2 linked regions of the Rhinolophus ferrumequinum genome follow. The protein of the gene in region 1 interacts with the protein of each later gene in a pairwise test. Links are inferred from orthologs where the notes say so. Each region holds a gene or a part of one and is shown on either strand. Other genes may lie near its edges. The genes, in order: glutathione S-transferase A4 and C13H2orf50.

What was found.
Region 2: the proteins of glutathione S-transferase A4 (region 1) and C13H2orf50 interact in binary tests that used the Homo sapiens proteins (3 or more experiments, as listed by UniProt). The two-hybrid records come from large-scale screens. The link is inferred for Rhinolophus ferrumequinum from reciprocal best matches to the Homo sapiens genes GSTA4 and CIMIP5.

What each region holds. Positions count from the first base shown.
Region 1 is NC_046286.1:20,676,852-20,693,017, reverse strand, and holds the start of glutathione S-transferase A4, read left to right. Parts: upstream 1-10,027; 5' UTR 10,028-10,129; intron 10,130-11,082; 5' UTR 11,083-11,100; coding exon 11,101-11,187; intron 11,188-16,166. Other genes in the region: CILK1 (serine/threonine-protein kinase ICK), read left to right, coding at 2,121-2,243, 3,198-3,352. UniProt on the Homo sapiens protein: Conjugation of reduced glutathione to a wide number of exogenous and endogenous hydrophobic electrophiles. This isozyme has a high catalytic efficiency with 4-hydroxyalkenals such as 4-hydroxynonenal (4-HNE).
Region 2 is NC_046296.1:64,957,392-64,973,754, reverse strand, and holds C13H2orf50 (uncharacterized protein C2orf50 homolog), read left to right. Parts: upstream 1-8,797; 5' UTR 8,798-8,994; coding exon 8,995-9,212; intron 9,213-10,228; coding exon 10,229-10,268; intron 10,269-12,029; coding exon 12,030-12,221; 3' UTR 12,222-12,250; intron 12,251-12,771; 3' UTR 12,772-12,903; downstream 12,904-16,363.

The sequences.
Region 1 (16,166 bases):
TGGGACAGACAAAAGTAACTTGACAGAGTCTTTCTTGTACAGTCTGACTTCTGAGGCCCTGCTGCATGGTGGGCAACCTCGGGGAACCGGACGTGACTCTGTCTGCCCCTTGCCCCCCATCTTGTCCCCTCCATCTGATGACCCAGCCTTAGCCCAGGGCGTCAGAACTTCAGGCTGGAAGGTCATTGCGAAGTCCCTCCCCACGCTTTCTGTGATGGGTAAATGAATGCCGTACGCATTCCAGGCCGCCTAACCCTGTTCCCAGCGGACCAGCTTCCCACCCTGTTTTCCCTCGCTCAGGCAGCCCCTGCCTGTTCTGTGCTGCTTTCCCTTCCATATTGTCAAGGAAGCACCTGGGCTTCACTTCCTGCTTTTATCCATTGTGTGCTCATCCATAGAAAGAGATACTCTATCAACACCCACGTGCCCACCACCAGTGGAAGAAGTCAAACTTTGCAGATATGAAGCCCAGTGTCTCCGCCTTCCCTGTCTTGCCCTCTTCCTCTCCTTCCCCCCATTCCCCACCTGATTTGAGTTTTTATCATTTCCATGCTTTTTAAAAAATATACATGAGATATATAGTATGGTTTTGCATGTTTTAAAATACATATGCATATAGTCCTGGCTCTCTACTCCTGTTAATAATTATATATGTAGCAATCATACATATATAGAATATGTATCACATTATGTAGTGTGTAATAGACACAGCATATATAACTACATAATACCATAATTTATTACCTCTACTAGACCGTAATTTATCCCTTCTCTTCTTGATGAACACGTAAGTGGTTTATAATTTTCGCTATTAGAGAGTGTGCTGATGTGGACATTGCTGTGCTCCTGTGTGAGGGTTTCTCTGCGTCTGATAGACACATGTTGGGTTAAAGGGTGTGCTCATCTTCGACGTCACAGATATTGCCAAATTGCTGTCCAGCAGGGTATGGACAGCATCCTTCTTGCCTTAAGTCCTGCTGCATCCTTATTGCCACTTGGTACCATCGAGCTTGTAAAATCTGTGCTAATGTGATGGGTGTGAGACGGCATCTTATTGTGCCTTAAACCTGCATGTCCTGTGTACTTCTGAGGTTGAGCATCTTTTCTTGTGTGCATTGTCTGGGCGTGTTTTCCCCTTTGTGTCTGTACCTGTTCACATTCTCTTCCCCTTTTTCTTCATATCTGTCTAGTCACCCAAAATGCAAAATGTGCTCCAGCTGACCAACAGCTCCTCACATGTGCATTCCAGACCACCGTTACCTCTCAACTTCAAGTGATTGCCAGGAAGGCTCTGTGTTGTGAGGACACAGAGCAGCTCTGCCGCTGAGTCACTCTCTTCTTCATGGCTATGACTTCCATTTGTGTAATGGCCATCGTAACATTCTTCGTCATTCCCTGTGTCGTTCTAAGCCTGAATAATAAGGCTTCTAGAGCGATTCCTTCACCCATCCAGTATATGTTGATTACTTGCCATATGTAAGGCATTCCGTTAACTTCCTACAATGCTACGCTGAGTAGCATACAGTACCAGCCCTTAAAGTACTCTCGAGATGGAGATGCCATAAAAGGTGAATGTATTTAAGCTATTTTAACAGGGGTCAATTTTTCTGGTTGCGGACAAGAATATTTAGTGTAGAATGAACTTGTAATAGCAAAATAAGTAGGGTAACCTGTGTGCTGATCAACAAAAGAATAGTTCGATGAATTCAGTTGTAGCCATAGTCTAGAGTTTGTCTAGGCTGACATGGAAGGATAACTATTCTCTATTATCAAGTGGAAAAAGCAAATTTCAGAACAAGCTAAACCAATTATACTAAAAGAGAGACAATTCCAGATTTCCCTTTTCTTAAACCAACCATCCTCCATTTGGGTGTGGGCTACAGGAGCAACACTGCGTTTGTCCCCCACCCCCCTCCCTGTTCTGCACCCCCCCCCCCCGTCTTTCTGATAGAGTGGTGTTGTGGAATGCTGTGCTCAGAATTCACTGCTTTTATCCTAATGCTTTCCCCGCCTAAAAATAAAGACCTAATTCTTTATTGTTCTGCGCCACTGTCCTTTACGCCTGTTGGTGTCATGTGCGCATGACTTTGTACTAATGAGCTTTTGCTTTTGCAAATCAGTTGGTTCCGGCTCTACAAGTTCTAGTGGGCTGGCTGGAAGCTATATCTCTTCCTTGCTGAAAAAAGAACTTGATTCTGCTATGCAGAGGGTACACTTGGCACCTATTCCAGACCCTTCCCCTGGTAAGTTTAATTTCGGACTATTCACGAGTTGATTCAATCAATAGTTACTGAACACCTAACTGCTTTGTGGTTGTGGGCATGTGGACCTAGGATCCACCAGTGAAGGAGACAGACCAAACTCCCTGTCCCTTGTGGAACTTATACCTTACAGACAATAAATAAACCAAATAAGATGTGCATAAGAGCTAAGGAGAAAACTCAAGCTGGCAGGAAGTAGGGAATATGAGGGTTGGTGTGTGGCATGTAGACTGGTCAATGTTAGACAGGGTGGCCAGCGAAGTGCTCGCTGGAAAGGAGACACTGAGTAAAGATCTGGAGGAGGTGAATAAGCGAGCCGTGCAGTGTGGCCCAGACTGTTCCAGGCTGGGATTCTGAAGTGCGTGGGCTTCGAGACAGGACGGGCTTGGCGTATTCAACGAAGTGCAAGCGTGGTGGGAGTGGGAGGAGGGGAGTAGGAAGAGGAGGTCAGAGAGGTGATGGGGGCCTGATGGCATGTACCCTGCAGACCCCCGAAAGCAAGTTGTCATTGACTGAGAGACATGAGAACTACGGGAGGGTTTTGAGCAGAAGAGTAAGTGATCTGACTTCATCTTCCAGGTTCGCTCAAGTGCTGGTTGTCACCAGACTGAAAGGGGTGAGGAGGTTGGAAGCAGGGAAACCAATAGGGAGGCTGTTGCAGTTATCCAAGCGAGGACGGGTGCGGGTCTGGGCTGGGTGGTAATAGCGGAGTTGGGCTATATTGGGAAGGTAGAGCCAATAAGATCTGCTGACAAATTACAAGTGGGATATGAGAAAAAGAGGAGTCCGTCAGGAAGGACACCAGTGTTTTTGGCCTGACCAAATGCTCCTCTTGAACTCTCCTTGTCTGATGTTTTTGTCACCAAGATACATTTATCTGTACTTTGTTTTCATGGATCCCCTACCAATCAGGCCCACCTTTCTCTTTCCTGGCAGGTTATTCTTCCCTGAAGGCTGTGAGACCTCACCCTGGGCGACCTTTTTTCCACACCCAGCCGAGAAGCACTCCTGGGTTGATCCCACGGCCTCCAGCCGCCCAGCCAGTGCACGGCCGGACAGACTGGGCTGCTAAGTACGCATCTCGGCGGTGATGGTCATGAAGCCCTTTGTGTCCCCCAGCCAGCTGGTGTTCTACCTGTGAGACACTTTCGGATGGTGTGAAAGCAAACACTTTATAGTTATTCTTCTGATCTAAGACATTTCAATATTCTTTTTTAAAGTTTTTTTTTCAAAATATTGGTTTGAATGTAATACCCTGTTTTTGTACAAAATTATTTTATTCTAAAACTGGGTCCCATTATTTTCTTAAACTGCAGCATTTTGTATATATGGATTATGTTTTAGCATTTTATACAGTCAACTTTGTAACAAACTTTTTAAAGATTAATTGATTTTCTTTCGGGGTTCCAGATAATATTTTATACAGATTTTTAAAAATGTAATAATATTGACGCAGTATTGCAACAGGGGTGCAATTTAAGGCTACATGATAAAGGGTTATTTACTCTGTGTGTGCGGATATTTGTGAAGTGGTTAAATTTTAAATGTGGCGCATTAAGCACCTTGGGCTTTCTTGGACTTTCGTGACATTTCTCAATGTCACGTTATTGGTTTGATTTTTTTGATACCATTGTGCCATTCTAGAAGTACTGTTATGTAATTCACTTTGTTTAGTTTTTGTTCCCCAGGTGACAGAACTCTAAGTAAATAATTTTTGAAATTTTACAACATCCTTCATCATGGTTGGAGCTATCCAAATGAAACCAGGCTTCATCATGCTATGCCATTGCATTCTATTTCTTCCATATTTGAAATCAGATTGTATAAGGACTCAGAAAAGGGAAGCTTTTCAAGCCACAAAAGTCTCCGCATGAAGGTTCATATAGTCAATTAAACTGATATCCCTGCCAAAATGCGTGACCAAAAAGTGAAGTTTCAAAGCAGCAGATTTTTTTTTTTATCATAATAACTGATAGAATTTACATTCAGCTCAGTTGTCCAGGCGAGGAACAGACAGTGAATAATCTTCTGTCACAGCCAAAATCTCAGGGCAGTTTGGGGAGCAGAAAAGATTTATGGCAGAAGTTCCACTTACCCAGGAAGTCAAAGTTAGCATGAGGTTAGTGTCATAGTGTGCCACATTTAAACTCTTAACCCTTGTGTAGTTTCTTTCAACAGTGAGAACTCTATTTGTTGGCCACGGCTGTTCCATTGAGAGGAATGTTTACAGCAGTTTTGAAAATGACAAAGCCAGTTTGGAGACAGAAAAAGACAAAAGGTCCACTCTCATCCACCTCTGTAGGGCACATGTGCCTCCACTCATGGTTACCTGAAAGGCAAGAGGAAAGGTCACCAGCAGAGAACATGATATAATTTCAATAGTGTGTTGACTCATTCTCCCAGGGCTCAAGCTACTCTCATTTGGTTCCCGGTTCCAGGATATAGGTAGTTGAATCATATGAAATTGACATTTTCGTAGGTTAAAATGAATATGGGCACTTTGATGTGGTTCCACTTACCATTACCAAGTTGGCAAATTATTACTTCGATGTCCTATTAATACATTGTAGCCCGAAACAATTACCATAAGAGCCCTAACCTAAAGCAGGGAGTAATTTCTGTTTTGGAGAATCTGATTCAAACATGTACTTGACCAAGCGCTGTGATCACTAGGGGCAGGAGAAAAGCACATAATGGATGTGGGTTTGATAGTTAATATTTTCCCGTTAACAAACTGGCAGCAGAGCTTCAGAAAATAAATATGTATGTGTAAGCACAACTTGAAGCTGAATTCATTTCTGTATTATATTCTCAACTCATTACCTAAAGCAACAGAAAATGTGTTTTCAGAGATGAGTCCTTTACTGAGGTTAATATTTATTTTCCCTTTCTGTATTATGTATACAACGTAAGTTAATCTGTACCTTTACCCAGCTTGCCTGGAAAGCTGGGTTTCAATTGTAAATACCCCTTAGAGAAGCATATGGATTGTGAATACCATATTCTTGACACTCTAGCTTATGTTAAAATCATTACACGTTTTAAAATTGAAAAACCTGGTTACCTGCTTATTACACAATATAAAGTGGTTTTTCTAATACTTTCATAGGGCCCAAATTCAGAAAATATTTCACTTTTCTTTCTCTTTTGTTTTCCTTTGTTTATCAGCAAACAACTTCCCTAGGGAAGCTAAACGTGTTTATTCATATGAAAGTCAAGAAGCTGATGTGCAGTTGAGAAACCTAGAAGACTGAAAAATAAACAATGTAAATTCTAAAGAACTAGCAAAATCCTATAAAGCACTCGTTTTTTCTCCCCGAAATGGGTAAAGGACAATTTGTATATACAAACTGTTTACTATAGAAGGGAATAGTGACCATTTTTGGTTAAGTGAAAATAAAGTGCTACCTGTCATATGTATTTTTTAGTTACTGTAGAATTATTAAACGAACTGCAAGACACCACAATGAATGATGAGTTTAATTGTACCTCCATGACTATACCTCATTTCCAATCAGAAAGCTTTCTGGGACATCAGGAAACGGTACAGGAATGGCTCTCATTCTGTGCCCAAAGGTTCAGTGATGGGGATACATGGAAACTGCAAGGCAACTGCACGGGCACAAAAACCACTGTTGGTGTGATTGCTCATTTTACAATAAAAATCACATGAATTTCTAAGCCCTCACCCAGCTCGCATATGGTAGGATTTAAATAAGAAGAAAATTGATTTTCAGACAATTTTTTTAGACGTAGCTCTTGCCAAAAGGACTATATACACTTAATAAATTGACGCTCTGTCATCTTCTGGAGTTATCAGAAATTGAATATAATCAAAGCAACACATGTAAAACAAAACCATTCTTGTTTTGTCAAGAATTGTTTTAAGTACAACTACCAGTACTGTTGGAGTTCATGGGCACCATCTTTTCTCATCTTTTCTCATGCTGGAAAAAGTAGCATTTCCCTTCCATCAAGCCATTGTTTTGTGCCACTTAGGAGAGAAAAAGAAAGCAGGCTGTATGTTCCAACTCAGCATGACCAAAAGCAATATGTTTATAAGAAAACGTTTGACATACTATTATATATTATTTAAAGCATACTGTAGCAACGTGTTTGTTTAATATATGTGGTTAATTTTTAGAATTATTTTTACAATTTCCAACCAAAGTCCTGTATTTTATATAATTTATTGTGAGGACCTTTTCATGGAAACCATTACAAAGACAAACTGGAGGCTACTATCACGTTAATCTGTATTATCAGTTTCTTATAGACACGGTGCTAATATGAACTTAACATGACCTGAACAGTTTTTCTGATCTCAGCTATCTCAGCACTGGTTGCAGTGTAGTCACTAGATTTGATTACAAGGGAGTAACTGAGAATATAAGTATTTATAAAGCAAATATTCATAATGGTGAGAAGATAGGAGGACAGAAAATCACTTACGCAAGCCCCATCTGAAATAAAATGTTGTTTTTTGAATAGTTCATCCCTCCGGTGTTTAAAAATGTTAACTACATTTGCAAAAATTCTGCTCCAAATAAAGTTACGGTTTAAGAAAAATAGATTTGTGTTCTGTTTTTGTTTTCCTGTTCTTCCTGTTCTTATCTTTTTAATGTTAAAAAGATAACATTAGTATTTCCTAATTTGGAATTTTGATACTTTGTAACTTCTCCTTAATGCAGAAGTGTACACTTAGCAGTATGAAAAGAGTTATCCTGCAATGTATAAATTTTTGTTTGTTTGTTTTTTTTAATTTAGCTTTTAGTAAGTGAGGTGACTAGGATATTAAAAACAAAAATGCAGGTCAAAACTTTCTCTGGCTGATTTCATCATGATTAATGCCTACCTTATGTTTTAAGTTTTCACAACACACTCGTGTACAATCTAAACCTTCAAAGGAAACTCATAACTTCATGAATTACATATAGGATTCCACAGGAAATTCATTTCCCAACATTCTTTGAATCCTTGACAGAATTTTTGTAGGAACACAATTTATCAATCAAACTTGTATTGGTGAACCCCTAAATGAGTCCCTCATCATTAGACCTGACCTGACTGCAATCATCAGCACTTATCTAATCTTTTGGTATATGTGCCCCTTCAGAAGCCCCAAAGTTTCAAACTCTCAACCATCCTTCCTGTTGTAAACACCTGATGTTAAAAGAGGGTCTGACTGCAGTCATTTATAGCTAAGGCTGAATTTAAGCCAATTATTTCCCTCGTCCTGTAGTACTTACATATCAAGCCTCTCTTAAACTGAGATTTGAAGCTCTTGATTTTTGTTGAGGTAATTTTATGTGCTACTGAGTGGGTGGGCAAAGGTTTAAAGGCAGAGAGGACTTCCCAGGTCCTCTGAAAATGTATCAGATTGGTAGGCAGACATTATGAGTAAGACTGTCCCAGACTGAGAATGACTCCAGGAGGCTCCAAAAATAGAATGATTTCTGGGGCTTCCAAGGAATAAAATGAAGGGTACCTGTCAGGATGGCAGAATTATTATAACAGGACTTCTTATTTCTCCACAAGGCTGTGTAATTAATAGAGTCTTAGGATACTGCCTTAGTTTCTCTTTCAGGTAAACAAGATTGCTAGGATGAAGTGACTCCAATTTATTAGGGTGGACATAGGAAGTTGTCATTTTCGTAGGTTAGAAAAAATAGTGGGATATCAGTAATTTGATACAGTTCAGCCAATAAGAAATAAGAAAATGGAGATAAGGCTTTGGCTTACTAACAGTGTTGAATAATAATGTTTGTCTCATCTGGTTCAATAAAAGTGAATCTTTGTAGAAAGATGGGTTGGGAAAAATGAATAAAGAATGATCACTTTCAGCAAGGTTGGAAAATAGGACTTCCTACCTACGTTAAACTGAGTAATATTTGTGTTAGGTCAGAATTAGGAAGATGAAATTGAACATATTTCATTTCTTTTGAAGGGACTTTTCTGACTTTTGGGGTGCCCATCTATTCTTGATTTGCTTCATTTCTTACTTTACATACTTCCTCTGGATAAACTCATCCTTTTGCTGCCAGTTTGATCCATTTCAGTCCTCTCTTCTGATTCATCACTGGCTTATACAACTGTCTACTGGACATTACGAATTGGATGGCTCATAGGAATGAAAGACAAATCTCATTATTATTTCCCCCAATACTTGTCCTCCACTATGCTTTATGGAGCTAGAAACCAAGGCATCATTCATCCATTTTATTCCCTGAATACCTACTCTATGCTAAGCATTATTCTAAGAGTAGGATATACAAAAGTATATTGTTAAAAATATGAAAATTCCTAACGTGGAATTTACATTCTATCATATCTACACAGACAACAAAGTAAAATATAAAGTATGTTAGATGACAATAAATGTTACGAAAAATAGACGAGGGTGGAAAAGAAAATGAGTGTGTGTGTGGGGGGCATCATTTTAGACTTTTTCACTTCCTCCCTTCCCCAGCACCCTTCTGCCTGATTAGTAAATCTTTTACCTTCCACTTCCTTAATATCATCTTTTCTTACCCATCTTCTCCAAACTCACAATGCTACTTTAACTCACAAGGACATTTAATAGGTCTCTCTTTTGCGACCCCACACTGTCCCAATTCATTCTGCACACTTCTGCCGGAGAAATCTATTGAAAATAAAATCTGACCATATTGCTGCAAGTACTCAGCACCACAGGCTCCTCAAGCCAGGTCCTCTCAAGAGCCCCTCTTGGGTGAAAACAATAATCAACAACATCTATAGTCTGAGAAATAGCAGAAGCTGCCTCTAAAACGAAAAGTTTGAAGTCCTTTTGAAAACATTTTTAACTTTAAAATTCATGTGAATTTGGCATTCTATTCTATACTATAATCTTGACAGTTTTAAAACATTTTTTACAGTTTAAACTTGTTAACTAGACAAATTACTTTTTTAGCCCCGTTGAGATCTTAGTTGTGTCTAAACTGTACAAGATGATCGGAAAACAAGATGATCCATGGCGTCAGGGAAGAAAGGAGAAATTAAAAATAAATGTATGCACAAAAAAAAGAAAAAAATTGTTATGTTTAACTTATATATAGCTTTGCCTGTTTTATTTTCTTTTTCTTTAATTTATTGGGGTGACAATTGTTAGTAAAATTACATAGATTTTAATTACATTTGTCAAAAGAAAGGCAGACTGCCACGTGCAGCGCCTCATTTGGATGTGTCTGGAGTCTTGGAAGCTTGACTACCCTACGTTCTCCTACAAATGGACCTTGAGAGCTTGTTTGGAGGTTCTAGCAGGGGAGCGCAGCTACTCGTATACCCTTGACCGAGAAGACGGTCCTCTCCTCTATCGGGGAAGGTCGTCCTCTTCGACCGAGCGCGCAGCTTCGGGAGGGACGCACATGGATCGGTGAGGGAGGAAGGGGACACCCGCCTAGCCAGCCAGATCAGCCGAATCAACCCTGGCGATCAATGGGGTGACAGATGTCGCAGCCAGATCGCCCTCACATCCGAAGGACTAAGACTGTATACGAGCTATATAAAGCCAAACAGAATTATGTCTTTACGCATAGGTCGACTTCTTTTAATTATGTTCTATCTCTAACAAGAATTCTAACTAAGTCCAAACCTAAGTATCACTTCAAAAGTCATTTTCTCCCTGAAAATGCTAAAATTAATGTTAAAACTGACTTGAATGTGAACTTTTTTCATATTATCCAGAATGCCTTGCAGATGGGTGGGTCATGCTAAACATTGTTGTCTCGATTGGTGAAATCTTCCCGGAGCCGCGCCCACCGGTACCGCCTCCTCGTCACTAGCTGGTCTCTTCTCTCAGCTGCTTGCAGCGCGCTTTGTGCGGCTCCTGAGCTCCTAGCGGACTGCAGGTTTGTGTCCCTCCTGCCGCCCCCACCCGCTCTTTCCCTTCTTCTTGTTTCTCCTTCCCTCTATTCCCCCGGCTCCCAGCCTCTTACTCCACCATCCATTCCCCACCATCGCCCCCTTCAGTCCTTCTCTTGTCTCCCACCCTCCTGTCCTTTGCGCCTCCGCCTCCGTCTGGGCAGACGTGGGCCCCTTGGCTGCGACTGGGGTCGTTCTTGGCAGTGTGCGTGTTTTTATTAACCGTCTCTGCGGAGTTTGTTCCATTGATGGAAGGCCGGCTCGGATCCTCCGTGGGCGGGGCCGGGAGGCAGCTCTGCTCACGCCGCGGATCACCCGAGTCTAGTCTCGGGTGGCTGCGTCTGTGGCCTGGGCGCATTCGCAAGACCCGGGGCTCATCTCCCAGCGGGGACTGGGGACGTGCGGGACCCCGGGGCTGCCACCGCAGGCGTGACGATGGACGCACATTTTGCAGACAATAGTAACCCTCGGCCTCTCCCCCTTCCAGTTTCTGTGATAATCTAATATGATGCTGCGTACGAAAGTATGACTACTTGCAGAGGTTCCAGTGGGTGTATAATTAAATTCTCCGCGACCCTCCATTCCTGGCCCCTCCAGGTCGAATTTGAGAAATCTAAGATTTTTAAGGTCAAGTATATGATGATCTAAATCTTTGAAGTACCTTACTACCCAAGCACAAATGTCTTTACAACATACGGCCCCTGCTTCCCAAGATACGGAATAAGAAATCATAAATAGAAACGATATGAAAACCAAGGTTTTTTGGTTTGTTTGTTTGTTTGTTAATGTTTTAAAATGGTGGTATGTTTTTATGGAGTGAGGGAAAACGCAGTAAAAACAAAACAGTTTCCTGTGCCCAAATCGTGAATATTCATTTAGCCCCTGAGCCCTGGGTCGAGGACACGAAATTAAGAGGAGCTGCTGCATTTGTTTTTTTCAGAAAGCCTGAAAGGCCATCATGTCAGAGAAGCCTAAGCTCCACTATCCCAACGGAAGAGGCCGGATGGAAACCGTAAGATGGGTTTTAGCTGCCGCTGGAGTCGAGGTACTCTATGTGCTGTTTCTTCACAGATTTGCCGCACAACTTGGAGACTCTGAGCAAAACACAAATGGCGGAGCCCTGATCTAGTCCTCTCCCACTAACATAACAGACATGCTTCGTTGAGTCAGAGGATTCCTTCCTTTCAAGGGTTTTTTCCTTTATAAAAGGAATGTAGTGGATGGAATTCCATTTTATTTCTGACTTTCACTTCATCATTGGCTTCTGATGTGCCACCAACAAATATTTGTTAATAAGGAGAAAAGAAATGAACCTGAAATTTGCCAGTTACTCCCAGAACTTTTGTTAATTTTGTTAATGTGTCCTGGTCTGCATAACTTTGGCCCAGTGTTTTTGTTTTTGTTCTGTTTTTTTTAGCTTCATATTTATGGAAATGTTCCAGTAGGAACAAAAGTAGAGAAAACATTGGCATGGATTCCATGTACCTTTCACTCAGCTTCAACAATCATTAACTTTATGCTGATTTTGTTTCATTTACGGTATCTACCCATCTTCACTTGTTTTGTGGGAGTATTTTAATGAAAAATCCAAACATCATATGGGTTCATCTGTGAGTACTTCAGTTTTTATCTCTAAAAGATGAGGATTTTAAAACATAACCACAATACCATTATCACATCCAACAAAAAATTAACAATTCCTTATTATCATCTAACAGTCTGATTGTCTCAAACTGGTCTTTTTATAGTTAGTTTATTCCAGTCTGTATCTAAATCAGGCCCACACACTGCATTTGGTTATGTTTCTTTCAGTATTTTTAAAAAATCTATAACATTTTCCTTTGTATTTAAAAAAAATAAACTTTATATTTGGGAATAATTTTAGGTTTATGGAAAACTTACATAATGTAAGGTGTTCCCATGTAACTATCACTCAGTCTCTCCTAATGATGACAATTCATATAACCATGTCACAACTAAGAAATTAACATTGGTGCATGACTAAACTACAGACTATTCTAATTTAATTAGTTTTTCCACTAACATACTTTTATTGTTCCAGGATCCAACAATATATTAGGTCGTTTGTTTTCTTAGTCTTCCTCAATCTGTGACAGTTTCTCAATGTTTCTCAGTGCTTATTTCATGAACTTGACAGTTTTGAAAACTGTTGATCAGGTTTTTTGTAGAATCTTCCTGTTTGGGTTTGTCTGATGTTTTTCTCATGATTAGACCAGAGTTTGGGGTTTGGGGGAAGAACAGCACAGAGGTGAAGCATCCTCATTGCATCATAGGAGGGGTTACGTGCTATTAACGTGAGTTATCACTGGGGCTGTTAATCTTGGTCGCTTGGTTACGGTGATGTCTGCTAGGTTTCTTCTTGTCAAATGACCATTTTCCCTTTTATTCTTTGGAAGCAAATCGTTAAGTTTATTCCACACTCAGGAGGATGGGAATTTAAGCTTCACTTCCTGGAGGGGGGAGTATCTACATTTAGAATTCTTATGTAAGGGAGATTTTCCCCCACCTCCCCAATTTATTTATATATTCAATCATTTATTTATAGCACTATGGACTTCAGCATATTTATTTTTTACTGTGGGTTATAATTCAATAATTACTTGTTCAAAATGTTCCAGCTTTGGCCATTGGCACTCTTCCAGGTTAGCTCTTGTGTCCTTTCCACATATCCTTTTCCCATCACCTATCAATTTCTTACTTTCTGACACAATATGATGGTCCAGGCTCATCTTATATTGTATTTTCCTTGTCCTGGCCCTAGAATCAGGTATTTCTCCAAGGATCCCTGGTCCCTTTTATTAGAAAATGGTATTAACAGCCAAGACCTGGGTGTAGAGTGTCTGCATTTGTTTTAGTGACATTTACTGGTGAAGAAACTGCCCTGTAGAATTTCCCCCATTCTATATTTGGCTGATTTACCCTCATTTTAACATGTTCCTCTCTTCTCTATATTTCCTCACACACAGCTAGTTGGATCCAGAGGTGTGATCGAATCCATGCTCCTTTTCTCTATCTTTAATTTTTGTTTTTCCTGCCAGGCTCCAACAGAGGAATATTGTGAACATATTTCTGTTGTACGCCATCAGGGGTGTGTGATGTCTGACTGTCTCGTTCTCAGTCATGCAGAGCTTGATCCCTGTGTTCTGGTGACGTCAGCCTGATCCACTCATTAGAAAATCTCCCCCATTACCCTTTCAGTTAGTGGTTTTAGCGGCTATTGATCCTCACCATGGGTAGGGATTACAAAATGGTATTTTTCTAGTTTTATCCTTTCACCTGAATTTATTAACTGTAACTCTCTTATAAGAGTAAGTTTTCACCTGTTAACTATTTAATTACCTTGAAGTGCAGCTCATATAGGAAAGGCAAGATAAATGCTTGATTTGGACTCTTTATCAATTTTCTCAATAATGAATTGTTACCCTGACAACCTCCAAAGATGACAAATGAGGGCTACGGAGTTTGGGGTTTTGTTTTTTGTTTGAGTTGGGCTTGGGTTGGGGTTTATTTGCATACCATTATAATTCCCCACACCGTGTTTTCCGATTTTGCTAAATTAGTTGATACCATTTTTATATACAAACCCTGATTTCTGAGTGCTCTTGAGAGACTGGAAGATCTAATGATATTGGGCCCTCATTTCCACATGGCCGCAACTGCTGAATATGAATAAGGACTGCCACTATTGGTGGGTCTTTCTAATTCAACACAGACCCTTCATTCCTTATTGTCTCGGGACAAATTTTCTAATTATGCTAAGCGGAGAGTGAACCATTTCTTGGTCCCACGACCTGAGCCTGATCTGTCAGCTGTCTACCCCTCTATGTGTCTGAGTGTACAAGTTGTTTTTCTAAATAGGCTTTGCAGTGGCTATCTTATTTGTATATGTAATATAATCCTTTATCTCCCCTATTTTCATTCTACCCTGTCCTTCCTACTCCCCTTTGAGTCAATATTCTTGGTTACAGTGATGGAAACCCAACCATAAATAAGTTAAACGAAAAAGAACATGAGTCATGTGGTCCACCTATCCTAAACCAATTACAGTGAGCAGGCAGGTTGGGTAGAATAATTAGCCCAGATTGGACTTGGGGCCCACCCCTTGGACCTGCGCGGCCGGAGCTTGGTTGGCCTCCCTCACTAGGGCTGACCAAGTGGTTTACAGGATCAATTCCCAAAAGGTGGTATGGGGGGGAGGTCCCCGCCCCATTTCTTTGCCAAAAGACAATTTTAGCTAAGTCTGTGCTCATATAGATCCGAAACAATCAGGAGGGATGGGCTGGCAGCCACTGGATGAGTTTGTGATTCCCACTGTCACAGTGTTGGGTTGAGCCTGCCATGTAAAGCACACACATCTGAGTAACTGGGTAACTGAACCTGCTGAAAGGCAGCAGGTCCTAATTCAGGGAGTCACTGTCCTCCATCTGTCACTTCGTTTAAATCCTTAGACATTGGTGTGTGCTGGATTTTGCTTCTTCGCTGTCTGAGGCTCCATTTGCTGAAGACCCCCCCACCCCCCTACCCCTGGTGCAGAAATCCAGTTAAATCCATCCCCCTTGTTAAAAGGGAAATCAATACACGTAAAAGAGAAGGCTTCATAGCCACAAGCTCCTAATTCAGGACTTCTGGATAATTCATTTACAAAAACTGTAAGAGTGTTGAAAAGGGGAGTGCTATGGTGTGGAAGAGGACAGATCTCCAAAGTTAGGAAACAAAGACAACTGACTGTGTTTGTTAGATAGAAACCCAGACGCTGTCTCTACCCTTCCAGCCTTGGGCAGTACTTGGGCTGGGGTTGCCAAGCTCCCTCCAAGCTCTGTCTGGTGATATTTTTCCTTCCCTTTTTGTCCCACCTTCTCATCTCCCCTTCTGGTGCTAGTTTCTTCTTACTGACCAATCGTTTTACAAAGCCTGACACAAAAAGTTTCTCTAATGAGAGCACACATTTTGCATAATGTCCCAAAAGTAAAAAATCAGGACCAGAACCATTGGGAAGGACTTGGGTTTTTTTTTTGGTTTGTTTGTTTGTTGTTGTTTTTTTAATGTACAATTCTGGTCTCTCCCAACTCCTGAATATGAGTCTCTGAGGCCTGGGGTGGGCCTGGAAGCCGACCTACCCCATCCCCCACACTTTCCCATGTGCTTTAAATGGTCATGATGATAAAAGCTTGAGAGGAGTAGTGTGGAGGGAGCACCGCTGCACCACATCTGACCAGCTGGGTGTTTGGACAAATGCCCCAAATATTGTTGGCCCTAAGCACGAGATAGAGCTTCTCCAGGGGCACTCAGTCCCCTCTTCTCAGACCACGAGGACCCTGGTGAGTAGCAAAAGCCAGCCTACAGCCCATATCCCAATTCTCGCCCCCGGTCAGATAGTTAAGATGGAGGAGGGGAGGACTGCCAATTCTGTGCTGGTCAGCTCCACCCCTCCCTTGGATGATTTTGGGGAGCAGCCCAGGGACAGGTATCTGTGGGGAACCATCCAGGGACTTGGTGGGAGGAGGCCTCCTCTTCCTGACATGAAGTTAACATTAGAACATTTTATAATGTCAGGAAAAGAGAAACTTGTTTTCACTGTTTTTCCCCCCAACTTTTTAATTTGAAAACTTTCAAACCTACAGAAAAATTGCAATAGTACAATGGATACCTTTCAACTAAATTCAGTTGTTAACAGTTTGCTACCTTTGCTTTCTCCCTTCCTCTCTCTACTTCTCCCCCCACCCCAATCCTTTGAAAATAAGTTGCAGACATTAGCAGGTATCTTCCTCCTAAGAATAAATAATTATTCTAATAACCACAATATCATTGTCGCAACTAAAAACTAATACTAAGTGTGTAATATCTAATTTGCAATCCTATTGTCCCCAAAATGTCTATCTAATTGTTATATATCTGTTTAGCAGTTATAACTGCCCCCTGCACTACCACCATCCATCCATGATCTAATCAAGATTCAGGCATTTGATTATTAGTTTCTTTTTATCTAGAACAGTACCCGCTTTT
Region 2 (16,363 bases), on another chromosome or scaffold:
GTGGCTAAATAAAAGTTATAATTAACTTGAGGGGTAATAAAACAAGGTAAAACTAAAACATTAGTCAAAAATACCATGTCCAATTGGATGAGTGATTATAGTGAAAGCATTCTAAAATTTCTGTTTTTTATACAAAATGTTTGGGAGGGTAGAAAAATTGCAAAATGTTAGAAACTGAGTAAAGTACATATGTTAAAATTTTAAGGACAACCACTGAAAAATGCAATTTTCAAAGAGCTAAAGAAATGGTGTTTATTTCAAAATAATAAAGGAAATGGAAATTTTTAAAAGCAAACAGAATATCTGAAATAAATTGTAAAAAAAAAATTCAAAATATCAATAATTAAATACAAATGAACTAAACTTGCTAGTAAAAAGAAGTTGTCAGACTAGATTTTTTAAAAAATTTAGGACAGCCTGATATGTTTAAGAGATCCACCCAAAACATAAGGACTCACACTTAAAATAAATGGATGGGGAAAGAAATAGCAGGCAAATATTTACGAAAAGAAAACGAGTTTAGCTTTATTATAGGAAAAAAAGACTGTATTTTATAGGATGTCAAACTCATTACCTAATGATGAAAGGTGATAGAAAGTTATAATACTCTTGAACCTCATACATCGAACAACACAGCCTCAAAACCTACCCTGTCAGAACCCTGTTATCCCATTCACACAGAAAAAGAATTAAGCACACTGAAAAAACAGCGTTGTGAGAATTCGGGGAAATGCTGAAGGTGAAAGTGCATCATTAAAACAGAAAGTGCAACTTAGAGTGGGGAGTAATTATTAACGAGAGAAACACCCGCCACACATCATGGAGAGCAGGCCTGGCCTGAAAGTCTAAATACAGCTGGGCTTTTGGAAGCTTCTGGACCACTCTGAGGTAAAGGATCCTTTGAGAAGCTGATGAAACCTACAGACCCTCTCCCCACCCCAAAACTGCACATCTGCAAAGACCATTACAAATGATATCAGGGGTATCACAAGATGCCCTGAAGGACACTGCTGAAATTTTTCCTCATCTCTGATACGCAGCTGAAGCTGAGGCCCCTGGAATCCAGGTCATGGGAGGAATGTCTAAGGGGACTGTGGGCTCGTCTTGGAGACAAGAGGACTCACTGGGGGTCTGAGAGACATCCCCAACTACTTGGAGGGCCATCATGAGTCTTGTTCTCGGCAGTTCTAAGGAGGCAAAATGCAGACCAAAAAGGGAAGCTCAGAACCTCTAAGAAAGGCATTTCCAGTGGAGAAGGTACCGAGCTCTCTGCAGTGGACATGGTCCAGCGGAGGCAAGCTGAGGAGCCTGCAGAAGGAACCGTTCCCCCCCGGGGGATGCTCCACGCCATGACCTCAAACTCCCCTCCAAGCCCTTGAATTCCTACGGCTCAATCAGGAAAGGATCCTGTGTGAGGCTATTCCTGCCTCTCTCCTTCTTTCCACAAGTGTTTAGTGAGCACCTACTACACACCAGGTTCTAGCTGGAGATGCATCTGTGGTATTTTACCTCTAGTGAGGGAAACAGACAAGGAATAAAATAATACAAGAGTGATAAATGCTAAGACAAAAATAGAGTGAGGAGACAGAGACTGCCAGAGAGCTGGGTGGGGAGCTCGTTATTAGGGGGTTATGAAAAGGATAATTTGTGAGCTGAGACCTGAGACGTAGGAGCCTAGTCCACATGAGGGTGCAACAAGCAGGAAGATGCAAGGTGGGGCCAGCCCGGAGCTGGTGCACAGGTGCAGTCATGAGGCCGAGGGAAAGTTCCATCTGGGTTTCTATGGGGAACAATGATCATGTGTTGGTTTAAATGAGCCCCAAGGCTTTGATAGCTAAGATCTGTATAATCACCGAGAAAGCGAAAATTAGCCCTGCTGGCAGGCACACTGAGATAAACAAGGTTTCCAATAGGACACGATTATGCCAACAGAACAAAAAGAAAAACAAAGAAACCCCAGTGAGACCTTGCTGCAGCTGCAAAAATGACTGACACTCTCTCTTAGGGGTTGCCGGTCACCGGGCTGCTTTCCAAAACGGCCTTCCGTTCCTCAGGGGGAGCACACCCCCTTGCTGTAGCAGGACAAGCAAACCCAGCACTGAGAACTGCAGGAATGTGCTTGGGGCGACACCTCTACTGCAACACACTCATCCTACTAGTAGCCGGCCGTATTCTTACCAGCTGCCAGGCGGTTCGCTAAGAGCTTTATACCTAATTTGTGACATTTCATGTTCGACATAACCTTTACAGTGACTGTTATTATTACCACCACCTTCCGAGGGAATAAGACTTAGACAGGAAACCGTGAAGGCAGCGGAACAGGGACGTAGCCCCAGCCTGCCGCATGGAGGAGTTTGTGTTCTCACAGGTACTGCACAGCTGTCTGCAATGGGGGCGCTGGGAAGTGCCAGTGAGGGCAGGTGCAGATACTCCCATCCAGGTGGGACCCCTAAGTGCTTGCTCTTAGGCTCTGTGTTTTACCACTTTCCGCACATAAAGTCACTAAGTGAATTTCACCCCAATGCAAAATGCAAGAGGCACCCCAGTCTAGGACACTTGTTTCCAGGAGAATGCGTCCCAAGACGCAAACGCAAACACATCCTCCTTCCCAGTCGGCACTGAGCACTCTAATGAGGGAGGCGCCCATCATCCAATCACGCCATTAGACTTCATAACCTGGAGCAAACATCCTCCTGGGTGGTGCAACTGTGACATTTTAAGGGGCTCCCGCAGGGCCAGGCTGGGGTTGTGGAGTCTCCAGGGGCCCCTTCCTGGTGTACAGATCCCCCACCAGTATGTAGATCCAACGTATCTGAAGCAGCTGTTGGCCTTTGCAGTAATCAAAACATGGCTAATATGGGCAAAATAATAAGCAGGAAATTGTGAAAGTTCCATCAGTAAACAAAATATTTTTCTTCCCAGTTTGGTTTTGCAGCCCTGAAGCTAACTCTTGTATACCCCCTACCATTTGCTTCAAATATTACTTCCTCCTCCAAATCACTGTCAGAGACTATGCTTTAACAAGTCTTCCCTCCCTCCCTTGATTAGAAAAGAACAGAAGATTCCCACTTGGAAAGGGAGTAAAGAGCTGTGAGAAGAGGGCCCTAGAACACGCTGTGGGATGGACCTCAAGCTGCACGGCTTTCCAGCCTGGAGATCGCGGGCAAGTCAGTTAAGCTCCCTGGGCCTCTGCTTCTTCATTCATGAATCGGAATGAAGACAAATGAGACAAAAGCCCAAATTCACCCAGCAGGTGAACACTTAGGTGCCCAAAGGCCGCGTCCTGTCACTTGCCACGCAGGATGCATCTCTCCCAGCCTCACCACCCTGCAGACCTGAGAACGCAGACATCCACCTCCTGTCTCTGTCCATCTCTGAAAACCAAGGAGGGGGATTCCCTTCTGCCCTTCCCGCCTTCCCAACGCCAGAGGTGAGAGCTCTCTGTGGCCCTCAGGCGTCTGCTCCTCAGGGTTCAGACCTGGAGAACATCCAAGCCCAATGGCCAAGACCAGGTGACCAGTGGGTGCTGTGCTGCCTCCGCGTTCCCACTGCCCCTCTAACCCCTCCGGATTTAAGTTTCCTCACCTGTAAATGGAGACAATGAGAACCCGCCTGTATCCGTCAGTGTTCTCCCGTGAACAGAAGCAAAAGGATGTGTGCATGCAGAGATGTTACAAGGAACTGACTCATACAGGTGTGGAGGCTGACGAGTCCCAAGATCCACGGTTGGCGAGCCACACACCCAGAGAGCCGACGGGGTAAGTTCTAGTCCCAATGCTCAGGCCCAAGAAGAGCCGATTCTTTAGCTCAAGTCCAAAGGTTGGAGAAGACCAGCATGCCAGCTCAGCACCCAGGCAGGAAGAGGTCCCTCTTACTCAACCTTTCTGTTCTAGTCAGGTCCTCAGCTGACGGACCAAGGCCCACCTGCATGGGGGGGCGCCATTTGCTTTACTCAGTCCACCAAGTGAAATGTGAACCTCACCCAGAGACACCCCAGACACAGCCGGGACGATGTGTAACCAAATGGCTGGGCACCGCACGGCCCAGTCAATGACACATAGAACTAACCATCACACCACCTCCTTCAGTTGTTGTGAGGGTTACATAAAACATTCAAGTACCAACAGTCGTACCCGGAGGTGGTACCCAGCACAGCAGGACACTGGTCTTTGGATCCCCAGTTTGCCCAAAGCGGGACATGGCGATCTGAATGAGCCTGATCGTCTTCTCCATGAGTTGTGGAGGGTTATGTCAACATGCCACCTCGCTCAGGCAGCCTGCTTCACCCCAGCCCACCCTCTGACTTCCTGAAGCTTTCTCCTGCCCCATACCTGGGCCGAGGGATCCTTGAGTTATAGTGGAAATTTCCATCCTGTCTCCACATCTAGTCTGAATTGCTACCAGCTCTTGTCCACACCTGAAACTGCTTGCGCCCCTCGTACCACCAAGCAACGACCCTTCTCCCCACCCACCCTTGCAAGCTCTTGCCAACTGTCCTAAATGTGAGGAGCCATTTATCAAAGGCTCTTCAGGTGCCAGCCTCTAGGTGGGGTACTTTTGTCACCTGTGTTGTTTCATTTCATTGTCACGCATCGCATCGTGATGCGTTTCAGTAGGAATCTCTTGTAGGGAGGGGACCACTGAAGAAAACACTGTCATGTGCTGCTTTGTGACAGCGAGTGCGGGCTTTCGAGTAGGAGAAGCTGAGGATGTAGATGGCGGACATCCCTGACGGAGGCTGAGCCCTCGGCCCTGGCCTGCCCCACACCAGGCGGAGGCAGCACCTGCCCTCCCAGGCCCTCACGGGGTGCACAGCTATAAGCAGCTATCTATCCCCGTCGCAACCAAATCATCCGGGGCACCCACACCACCAAGCACTTCAGTCAGACCTGCCAGTCACAGCACTTCCGGGCCGGCCTCCTCCTGCCACTGCAGCCTCACCTGAGGGTCAGGTGGCTGACGCCATGGTCACCCCCTGCCCCAGCAAGACAGGGCAGCACCAAACGGAGGTCTCCCGGTTTGGGGGGACTCCTACTCTTTCTCCTGCCTGCCTGGCCCAGAACCCACATGGCAGGCAGGCCATGGGCCAGGTGTGGGGCTCCCCAGACAGACAGAAGGACAGGGGACAAACAGCCAGGGTTACAACTCTATGGGCTAGGGTCTCCTTGGACATGCAAACTGAGAGCTCCTGCACCAGAGGAAGGAGGTGCTCACCTTCGGGGCTGGTCAGAGAGGGTGGCACCTTCCTTTGGCCTTGAACCGTGTGAACACCAGAACCTCCCCCTGCCGGCTACAGCCCCAAAACCAACCTCCTCTGCCCCGTGAAGCCCTCCCAGGCTCCGCCCTCCGCCACCCACCCAGCACCCTATGCTGCCACCAAAGGCTGATTCTCCCTGAATGCCCCCAGCAACTCGAGCTCCGTGGCCAGCACAGCCTCAGTCAGAGACCACCTAGGAGACCACCAGCCGCTGCCACAACCATCTGGGCCAGCTCAGCCTGGCAGGGCTCAGCCTCACCTGCTGCCTAATGTTTAAAGTATGTCACGCTGCCCAGATCCACCGCCACCTAAGGACTTTTTGCCTAGCGCCTGTTTCCACCAGGCCCTGCTGTGTTCCTTCATGGACACCTTCTCCCAACGTGACACTCATTTTCTGCCTTAAATCCGAAATGGCCATAGCGCCTGGCTCCTTTCGGATGCTTTGAGATGGAGCCGTAACTGCTGATTTCCGACTGGATGGAAGATGCAAAGCTACAGTCTGCCCCCTGCTGCCCAGGACGTGTGTTGCGACCATTCCCAATTCACTTCTACTTTTTCCTAAAATGCATTTCGCTACAGAAAAAATAAAAATGATGCATCAGAACATTTTTTCCCAATACTTAAAGTGTCCCCACCTCCCAGAAATCCAGAGCCTTCAGAATATAAACCAGTGAGTGTATAATGTAGGTAGCTGAAGTAAAACTGTTTACGTGGGATGCTTGTCCTCTTCAGATAATAGTCTAAGAGACAAGGAATGGCAGGCAGCAGGGCTTGGGTTCTGGCACCGCATGTCCTGCCCGTGGGATCAGTGAGGGTTGTGGTTTTCCTGAGCCCCCAGGTTCTGCACCTAAATCCAGATAGGACCAGCCCCCCCAAGGCTGTCATACTTCAACAAGAAATGTACGTGAGCACACTCTCAAACCTGAAGAGTGATACGACTGCTATTTTTAATGTAGTTGTAGTTATCTATTAGGGAAGACTTACATTACCTCCCAGAGGCTAGATTGGTATTGAAAACGTGGAGGCTAATTGCTGAAAATTATCCAGGAGGCTCCTGGGGAACCAATGGGGAGTAGTTAATTGTTAGCAGCCACGCCACAGCCCCGCTGTTGGCAGAAAGCACGGGCCCCCGACGGGAGGCCTGAGTGGGTTCCACTGCCAGGCCCTGCAGTTGTTGCCTATGGCCTTGGACGAGACTCTCAGCCTCTTGAAGCTTTTGTTCGCTCATCCATAAAACGGAGCTAACACTATTCATTTAATGAAATGAAATAATGGTTGAGGATAACATTCGTAAAATGCGTGGCACACAGTAGGGGCTGAATACGAGATAGTTTTATCCACAGTATATCCCAGAAGAAGTCTGAATCCATATAATCTGTCATGAGTTGAATCATTCCACCCTCACCCCATATGGTGAAGTCCTAACCCCTAATACCCCGGAGTGTGGCCTCATGTGGAAAGAGTCCTTGCAGATGTAATTAGTTCAGATGAGGTCACACTGGAGTAAGATGGGCCCTACCGGTGTCCTTATAAAAAGACGGCCGTGTGAAGACAGAGACACACAGACGGAGGCCATGTGGTGGTGAAGGCAGAGAGTGGTGTGGGCGGTCACAGTCCGAGGGGTGCCGCATTGCCCAGCAGCCACCAGAGCCGGGAAGAGACAAAGAAGTCCTGTCCTCCAGGTTTCACAGGAAGCCTGGCCTGCTGACACCTTGATTCCAGATGTGTAAGCAACCAAGCTTCCAGATAATCTTCTTCAATTACCCCTGAACCCTTACAAATGGACAGACCCACTGATACTGATGGAGTGTCCACTCCACAGCCAGGGCAGTTTCCCTCAGGACTGTCCTCGCTGTGCTGGGGGCGCAGACACCAAAGAGAGACAATGACTACCGGAAAAGCCTGCTCCTGGGCCCCAGGGGTCCCGCACAGTTCATTTTTTCTGAGAAAACTGCAGTCACTGAACGCCAGCCTGTCTCAGCCCAGCTCCGGGAGGAAGAACAGGACAGACAGAGTCCCAGCACCACAGCTTCTGCTCTTAGGCTAATGTCCAGGAGGCCACACTCCCTCAGCCCCTTCCTCCTAGCTGACAGCTCTTTGTGGCCCGGTGGCGCTCACCCACGGTCCTCCAGCCCAGCCATTTGCCCAAGCCCAGTGTGGGCTATACCACTTCCTCTACATGGAACATGGCCACAGTCCTCTCTCCTGCGTCTTGTCCCCTGCCAGGTGCTTCTTTACCCTGCAATGTCCTGTGGGCTTACAGCCGGCAGTGTCTCCAGTTGTGCACACAGCCGCCAGCCTCAGTGCTTTGCCTCTTCCCCCAACTTCCCCCAAATACCAGGCTCTCTCTTGTATCCAAGCTTTTGCTCCACCTGGCAAATCCTTTTCATCTGTGAAGACCCAACTCCTTAGTGCCTCTTACATGAAAGCAGAATCCAGAACAGGCACCCAGGGCTGGAGCACAGTGTGAGCTCGGGTGTGTTGGCTGAACTTGTCCCCACACCCTAGGGCACCTTGTACATACCTCTGTGTCCTCTGTGCGTCTATTTCCCAGCTATGCAGAGAAGTACCACGTCCAGCTGGATTGGCCACAGAAAACTTTCATGGAAAGAGCTGGAATCTGCCAACACAAACAGTGCATCGCAAGAAGCCAAGAGACCTGGCAGCTGGGGCACAAGCCATGAGCGGGTGTCAGAGGAGGTCAGCTGAGCCAGTACAGGAGCGGCCTGGGGCCGCAGAGCGAACTCGGGCTGCCTGGGTCAGAGCAGCAGCAGCCACAGGTTCTGAACATGACTCCTCCCCTCAGGTCCTCATTGCGTCCTTCAGACCGTCTAAAGTTAGGCCAAGCTTCAGTGAGTAGCTGAGTGACCTTGAGCTGTCACTTACTCTTGCTGCTGAGGGCCTCAGTTTCTCCATCTATAGAATGGGACTGGAAATTCTTGCTGTGGATGGTTGGGAGGGTCCCGCAAGAGAAAGGGTGGTGCTTTGTAAACCATCCAGGTTCACACAGAAAGAACAGATTAACTAATCATGCAGTGTCACTGATTTTCCCTCACCTGGCATACACTAGGACTGCTTCTATCATCCCTAGAGAGAAGCATCATGTGAAAGCACTCCCACCATCTCATGTAGCAGTGGGGTGGATCAGGATTATTATTGCCCTTTCACGTGCCCAAAAGGACAGGGTGCCCAAGGTCACGTGCCCAAGGTCAGGTTACAATGACAGAAACTGAGTCCAATCCCCACGTCCTCTCCGGGAGCCAGGTCTTCCCTCCCTGCCCCAGAAGTCAGGCCTTTGGCCCCCTTCCCCTCCCTCATGCTGTATTGAAGTCTCTAGCGAGGGGTGCAGGGAGCAGAGCTGTGGGGCAGCTGAGCTGGACATGGCACAGACCCAGGAACTTTCTCCACCCCACCCTCACCCTGGGGCTCAGATGTGCCAGACCAAGGCACACACATACACCGCAGCTCCCGCCTTCCTGGGCACAGTGGGGAGCTGCCCTGTTCCCAGGGCAACAGTCAACACAAGTAGGAGCTTGAAACTCAACTGGGCTCGATTACTCTCCCATCCTGGAAGGCCTGATCCTCATAGGCCACGCTGAGCTCAGGGTCCAGCGGGGCAGTGAGGAGGACCCCTGCACGGGCTCTCCTGGGGTTAGGAGGGAGGGTTATCCTGGGAGAGGTCTGAGCTCACACACACACACACACACACACACACACACACACACACACACGTCTCCATGGAGGGCCACTCCACCTCTGGGCTCCAGAAAACCACATCAGCTGGGTACCGACTGCCCTCCACCAGGCCACCAACCTTAGTCTCCCCTACTGCCCGGGGTGGCCCCATGGTGGCCAGGGGACGCGCTCGCGGCCTGGCCCTGGGGGCTGATGGTGTGCAGCAGGACCAGCTGTGGAGAGAACTCCTGGAGGCCGAGAGGCGGAGCCAGCAGCGCTGGTGAGTGCCCTGCCCTGCCTGCCCTCTTCCCCTGCCCTCCAGTCTGACTCAGGGTCTAGGAAGCTTCTGGAGAAAGAGAAACCTGAGGGTGAGAGGGAAGCCAGGCAAAGTGCATTGATGGGAAAGTGCTGGAGCCAAAGGGCAGAGAGCACTGAGGTGGGGAGCGGGGGAGGGGAGGTGAGAGAGCCCAGCCTGGGCCAGACACTTAGAGAGTGGGAGGGAGAGAGGCAGGGCTCCGGTAAGGGGCAGTGCAGCCCTCCCGGTTCATTCTGGAATCCCAGCACAGACTGCAGGGGGGCGACCAGGAAGCTGGGACAGCAGTCCTTCATTCACTCAATCCAAAAAGTCCCAGAAGAGCCGCTCTGTGGGGCTGCAAAGGGGACAAAACATGCCTGATCCCAGCTCCATGGAGCCTTCCTTCTCAGGACCGAGTAGCAATAAGCAAGTAGAGAAACAGCTAAAAGACTGGAGACTCTAGGCCATGGGGTCTGGGGCAGAGGCTATGTTTATTATGAGCGTTATACAATTGTTTGACTTTTCACACAAACAGATTAAAATAAAAATGAAATTACCAGTGCCAGTAATGCCAGTTTCCTCACTGTCGCTCCCTGTTAGTCCTAAACCTCCCCACCTTCTTCTTTTTTACCAAGGTTTGAGGAAGTGAGAACTGGCCCTCACACGCTACTTGGGGATCCCCACAGTGGCCCGCTGAGGAAGCAGAGGTACATGGAGACAGGGCATCACTGCTCTCCTTCCGACTCTGCTCTACCCTCCAGCATTATAGTTTCCACTCTAGGACAAGCCACTGATTATTGAAATGTTTCTTCATTTTATACGATGTAGCATAAATAAACACTCAGTAGATACATGGCATTCGTTTCACCTAAAAGTGATGTTAATTCCTCCATGATGGAATAAATGTGTTAGTGGCATCAGCTTATTAACTTGACACAGAAAAGCCATTTGTGAAAATGTCACAGGAAGAACTCACGTGTCTAACGTGTGTTCCTTTCCAGGGCTCAAAATTGGAGTTTCCTGAAAGACCATGACCTCATGGTAAGACATACTTGCACTTGGAATGTGTATTCACTCATTTAACATTTGTCTCTACCGTGTGATGGATGCTGGAGCGAACAGAGACAGATAAAATAGTCTTGTTCCAAGAAGCTTAGAGTCTGGTGGGAAAGAAAATACTGACGTGGAGCATGTAGAAATTACTTCTTCCCAGTGTTTCTTGACTTTGTTAAGATGTACGTGCTGGAACTTTATCCCCCAGGTGAGGACCGCAGTGCAGAGTGACGTGTGGGGTGCCCCCTGTGGAGAATGAGTTTGGGAGAAATACTTTGCAAACTCATTCCTGCCTCTAGTAGCACCACCTCTAATCAATCCTACTTGAGTAATTTTCCTAAACTGCAAAACTGATCATCTCTCTCCCCGGCTGAAAATCCTTCAGTAAATCTGCAGTTTTCAGCCTGGTTTACAACACATCTTGTGATCTAACCCCTCCTCCATTGCTCACCCCACACTGACCAACCCACACTCTTATCCGTGCCTTTGTGCGTGCTGTTCCCCTCCTGAAACGCCCTTCCCACCTTGTCAGCCTGATGGACTCTTATTCGTCCTTCAGGTCCCCACTCAGGTGCCTCCCCTTCTGAGAAATTTCCCCGTCTTGAGTGGGCTTGAGCAGATCACTCTGTGCTTCTGACTTTACTCACCAGCATATATGTAACCCTTTCCTTTGGTAAAGCATGTCATGTTGCGATGATCGATTTCACCTGGTTGTGGGCTCTCTAAGAGAAAGGACAACAGTGACTTCATCCCCGCACCTCCACCTCCAAGCACCTGGTCAGTAAAATATCACTCAGTTTGTGTTGGATGAATGAGCAAATGGGACAATGAATCCGGCCCTAAGAACAATGGTCACAGAACCACCTGGAAAATGAGCAGGGTAGTGAGTCAACCAAGGTGGTGGTGGCCACGCTGACACCAACATTGTGTGGTTTAGGGAAGGTGTCACGTCTTCATTCTGGCCTTGCTGGATTGCTGTCTTCCCCCAGATAGAAAATTTAGTTCGTGGGACCTGAAATCCTACACTGAGCTCCTGGTCCGGGCTTCGTCCAGCCTACTGAGTCCTTCCCTGCCAAGAGCGATGTAGCAACCTGAGCACTGAAACCTGCATCACACCCAGCTGTGGGGCCACCTCAGCACGGACTTTCCCAAGTAAAAGCCAGGATCTCATTACAAACTGGTCCTGTCACTTCTATTCCACACGAAGAAGCAAAGTTAACCATAAACAGGGGTAGGGAGGGCTGAGGATTTTGCCCCACACATCGGATTGTTCTGAATCCCTACATTTACTGACGGATTCATCCATCAGTTACAGAAGTCACTAGATAAATAACCTGCAGCTTATTCATAGAAGTTGCAAGGAGAATGAGTGCACTGCAACACACACACAAACGTGGACGAATCTCGCCAATGTCCATGAGAGAAAGCAGCCAGAGGAGGCACGATCCCATTAAGACAAAGTTCAAAACCAGGCCAAACCACAGCCTGTGGTGTCAGAGGTGGAAATCAGGTCGCCTGGGGGGTGGAGGTGTTCGGGGTGGAGGCTGATCAAGTTCTAGCTCCTGGTGCAGAGAGGCTACACAGGCAGGCTCGCTGTGCGACAGGTGATGGAGTACAGTTATGATTTGTGCACTTTTCTGTGTGTATGCTAGACTTGAAGTAAAACTTCACTGAAAAGAACCAACCACATCTATGGCACTGCCACCGTATGTGAAGCAGCATGTGACATGAACTGTCCCCTCTCCTCAGGGCAATAAGAAGGAACCTGAGAAGCTGCCGGAGCACGTGCCTTTCTTTTCTGACACTGTCCCCAATTCCACGAACCAGGTTGTGGGCAGCAGGGTGGACACGCCCCTGGGGAAAACCCTCATCAGCCTGGACTTCTTCTTCATGGAAGGAGTCCGGAAGAAGAAGCTGGAAGATGAGCTGCAGCCCATCTAGGAGGAGGAGGGCTCTCAGGGCTGCCCCAGGTGGGTGTGTGAGTGGAGCAGGAAGCCTGCAGCTGGCCTGGCACCATGGCCCCAGTCAGCGTCCCACACGTGTCAGCCAGGGTTTATTCTCCTTGCGCCCCACACAGCCTCTAAGTGGGCTCCATTGGCTCATTTTTATCCAGGAGTTTAGGGGACTCAAGAAACCTGCCCGGCAAGGTGGGGATTCCCTCTGAGGGGCCCATGAGGGAGCCCTGCATTGTGGTCAGGATATTGACTGCCTGGGTTCGAACTGTGCTCCTGACTCAGCAGCTGTGCAATGTTGGGCAGGTTGTGGGAACCCTCTGTGCCTCCATTTCCCATCTGTAAAATGGGTATTTGTTTTCTATCGCTGCTGTAACAAATGACCACAAACTGAGTGATTTCAAACAACACATATGCATTATCTTAGGGCTCTAGATATCCGAAATCCAAAATGTGTCACACTGGGCGAAAATCAACGTGTCAGCAGGGCTGTGTTCTTCTCTGGAGGCTCAAAGCACCTGTTTCCTCACCTTTTCCAGCTTCTAGAGGCTGTCCACTTTCCTTGGCCGGTGGCCCCCTACATCTGCAAAGGCAGCATCACAGCATTTCCAACCCGAGAGGACCTGAGATGATGCGGTGCCGGCCGCCCCTGGGAACCTGGTATCTGGGTTCACTCCGCATCCAGGATCCCATCTCACACCTGACTCACCGTGCTCGTTCCCCTCACCAGGCGACGATGGTCCACAGCTGTAAAGTTGGGGAGGGGAGACTCCAAGGACATCACAGCTCCAGATTCCGTCCTCTGAGCGTGCAGTGAGTACCGCATCACACAGGTTTGCAGCTCTTACACAGTGCAGTAGTTGGCTACGGTCCCCACAACAGGAGGGGGGCTGGGACCCAGGCTGAAGCAGCTCTCTCCTAAGGCTGCTCCTGCGGCCACCTCCAGGACAAACAGCCCAGACAGGCAGAGAGAAGGGGGAGCCACCGCCATGGAGCAGAACCAGGAACGTCCAACCAGGGTGATCTCAAATTGGGAACAGCCTCCTTGCTTCAACAGATCCGTGGAATGACATCATGAAAGTCAAACACCTGGCACACAGCAGGCATCGCACATTCTGGATGCTTCTGTAGCTGTCACTGCGGTTATCGATAAGCTTTTGCTGCTTGTCAGAGAGCTCTTCACTTCCCTATTTTGCTTTTCCTACGAGCAGTAATTGTCCACTGATTCGTAATCTAACCCGGGCAGAGGCCACCGTGATTCCCATGGCATGTGTGACAGCAGGGGTATCTGAGAACTAGCTGAGTTTACTGAAACCCTGGAGGGACATTCAGTCAACGGCCTAGATTTCCCTTGAAAATAACAGCTGAAATCACACCTCAGCCTACCTGAGACTCAGAGATGCTCCTCTTTTGTGTTCCCGGCATCTTGCCTGATGCATCCTTCTCTTCAGAGCCGTCTTCCCCTCCCTGCCTGATGCCGGAACACGTGTGCTCCCTTTCCTCTCCCTGTCCTCAGACACTACAGGACAGAGTCCAAAACTCATGAACAAAGGTCCACGGCCAAGAACAGCTGATTCCTTGTGTTGGCAGCAGAGTTGGGAGAGGCAGGGAGAGAGGCCAGGGAGGGCAGGAGAGCGCGCTTTGCCCTCCGTCGTCACAGACAGCCAACCTGGTAGCCAGCAGCTCCCTGGCAGTCTTTGCCAGACTTCCTGCAGTCTTGGCCCTCAGTGCCAGCCCTTAGCCCTGTAGCTCAGACACCCTTTCTTCTTCAGGGTCCCTGGCCCTCTCCTGCTCCCACATCTTCTGAGCACTGGGAGCCCTGCTGTCTGGTCTGAGTGACAGAGCCCATGGAGCTCCAAGGACAGAGCGGTGGGAAACCAGGGCTGTGCTGTCAGAGACTTCAGAGCAAACTCACACAGACCCTGCGGTGGCCTGAGCCCTCCACCTCCAGCTTTGACACCCAAACATATCAGAACAACCCGTTAGACTGGATTTTCCCTCCACATTTCCCACCGCTCCTTACTATCCCGTAAGGAATAACAAACAGAAATCATATCTTCTGACCAAAGCATCCCAGGTCCTAGTTGCAATGCCCAATGGTCTCTGTGCCCCATGCTGAGGGCACGGCAACGTGAAGCCAGAGCTGTGACAGTCGGCCAACAGTGAGGCTGGATGTGGCAGACACCCCTGCGGTCGCACTTCTCTGCTTAGTTCCTGCCAAGCAGGGGCACCCCCAGGAGACTCATGAGGCAGAAGGAGAAACGCCAGGGTCCTTCTTGGAGCACTGAGGACGCAGTGGTGGGACTTTCTGGGACAGCTGGGCCTGGCTGCTGTGTCTGTCAGTCCCCAGCTGGGCAGAGGTGGTGGCAGCTTCCTGCATGGGAGGCTTTCCTGGCGATGACAACAGTGGTGGAGGTGGCAACAGCAGCTCCCTCCCAGGGCAATTGTTCAGTGAGGTTCTGGAAGTTGTTCCTTGGAGATGTTTCCTAAAATCTGCTTCCTCATCCTTCTGGTGATTCAGCCTAATGTCTGGTAATAATAATGAAGCTAACTAAAGAAGAAGATTCCGTGGTCTGTAATCAAACCCTCACCAATACACTCTTCTTGTATACATTCCGGAACATTCCATTGTCTCCGGGAGGCCATGTCTGGGTGGCCTACTCAGGACTCATTTTGAATTTACCATAGCGAGCTCCCTCCCAGGCATGGACATCTGAGACCCAAAGAAGAGTAGTGTGGACTCTTACATTCCCAAGGGCTGTGGTGAAAGTGGGGTGGCCTGCTCTTAAGGCCACTCAATTTTTATAAGATGATGCAACGGAATCTTCAGAGCAGCCAACAGTAAAGACACTCCTGCACTTAGCCATTTGGCTGTCTTTGAAGATTAGCTGCATTTTAGATCGATGTTAGGAGCAGCATTTCAAACTCACTGTGGTCCATTATGTACATGGCAAAAGTTTGGCCAAGAGACTCGGTATTGACGAAGGGGTCCCATAAGGAATGCAGTCATGCTTCTCAGCTTGGCGTGCATGCAAATTTGGGGGGTTGGTAAAAGGAAGAGTCTGGTTCAGCATGTGTGTGTGTGATTGTCTTACATGTGTAATGTATGTGAGTATATACAGAGTATGTGTGCGTACATATATATATATATGACTGAATTAGGTCCTCCTCAGATTCATATGCTAAAGTCCTAACCCCCAAGGTGACTGTATATGAGGACAGAGCCTTTAAAGAGGTAATTAAAGCTAAATGAGGTCATAAGGGTGGGGCCCTAATCCAACAGGACTCGTGCCCTTATAAGAAGAGAGAGAGAGAGAGAGACAGGATGTGCACAGAGAAGCAGCCACGTGTGGACAGAGTGAGGAGACGGCCATCAGCAAGCCAAGGACAGGTCTCGCCAGAAACCAACCGCGGGCACCTTGGACTTCCAGCCTCCAGAACTGTGAGAAAATTAATTTGAACAGTTTGTGGTGTTTTGTTAAGGCAGCCCGAGCTGACTAATACTACACACACATGCATACACAGACACACGTATCCAAGCTCTGTCTCCTGAGAGGCCACAAGTAATGGCACCTCAGGAACAACAAGTACAGTTAGTCCCAGGTCTTTGTTTCTAAACACCATTCTCTAGTCATGAAAAGGCTGAGGGGCTCCTTAGGCAAATGGCTGATTCCAGGGGAAGCCTGGGAGCGCTGGGCAACAGTCAGAGCAAGGCCCAGTAAGGAAACGCGTAACAGATTGCTGGTGGTGCCAGTCCTTGACAGCCAGCCTTCCGATGAGCGCCAGGCAGCTTTTGGTAGGTCCACTTTTTCGGGGAGAATACAGATGCACTGAGAAGTTGAGTGAATTGCCTAAAGCCACACACTTTCTAAGTGGCAGAGCAGGGGTCATGAAGCCCACCTGGAGTCTCTGATGGCACCAGATTTCAGGGCAGTGTGCCTGCACAGAGCAGAAAGGGCATCGCGCCGGGCATGGAGACGGACTGCAGCTGCTGCTGGCTGTGTGACATGAGGCAAGCTGCCCGCTGCCCTGGAGCTCAGAACCTCACCTTAAAATGAGGCCAACAGCCCTTCGTGCCCACCCTCCCTCCCCTGCGCTTTTGAACTTTTTAATATGGAACATGTCAAACCC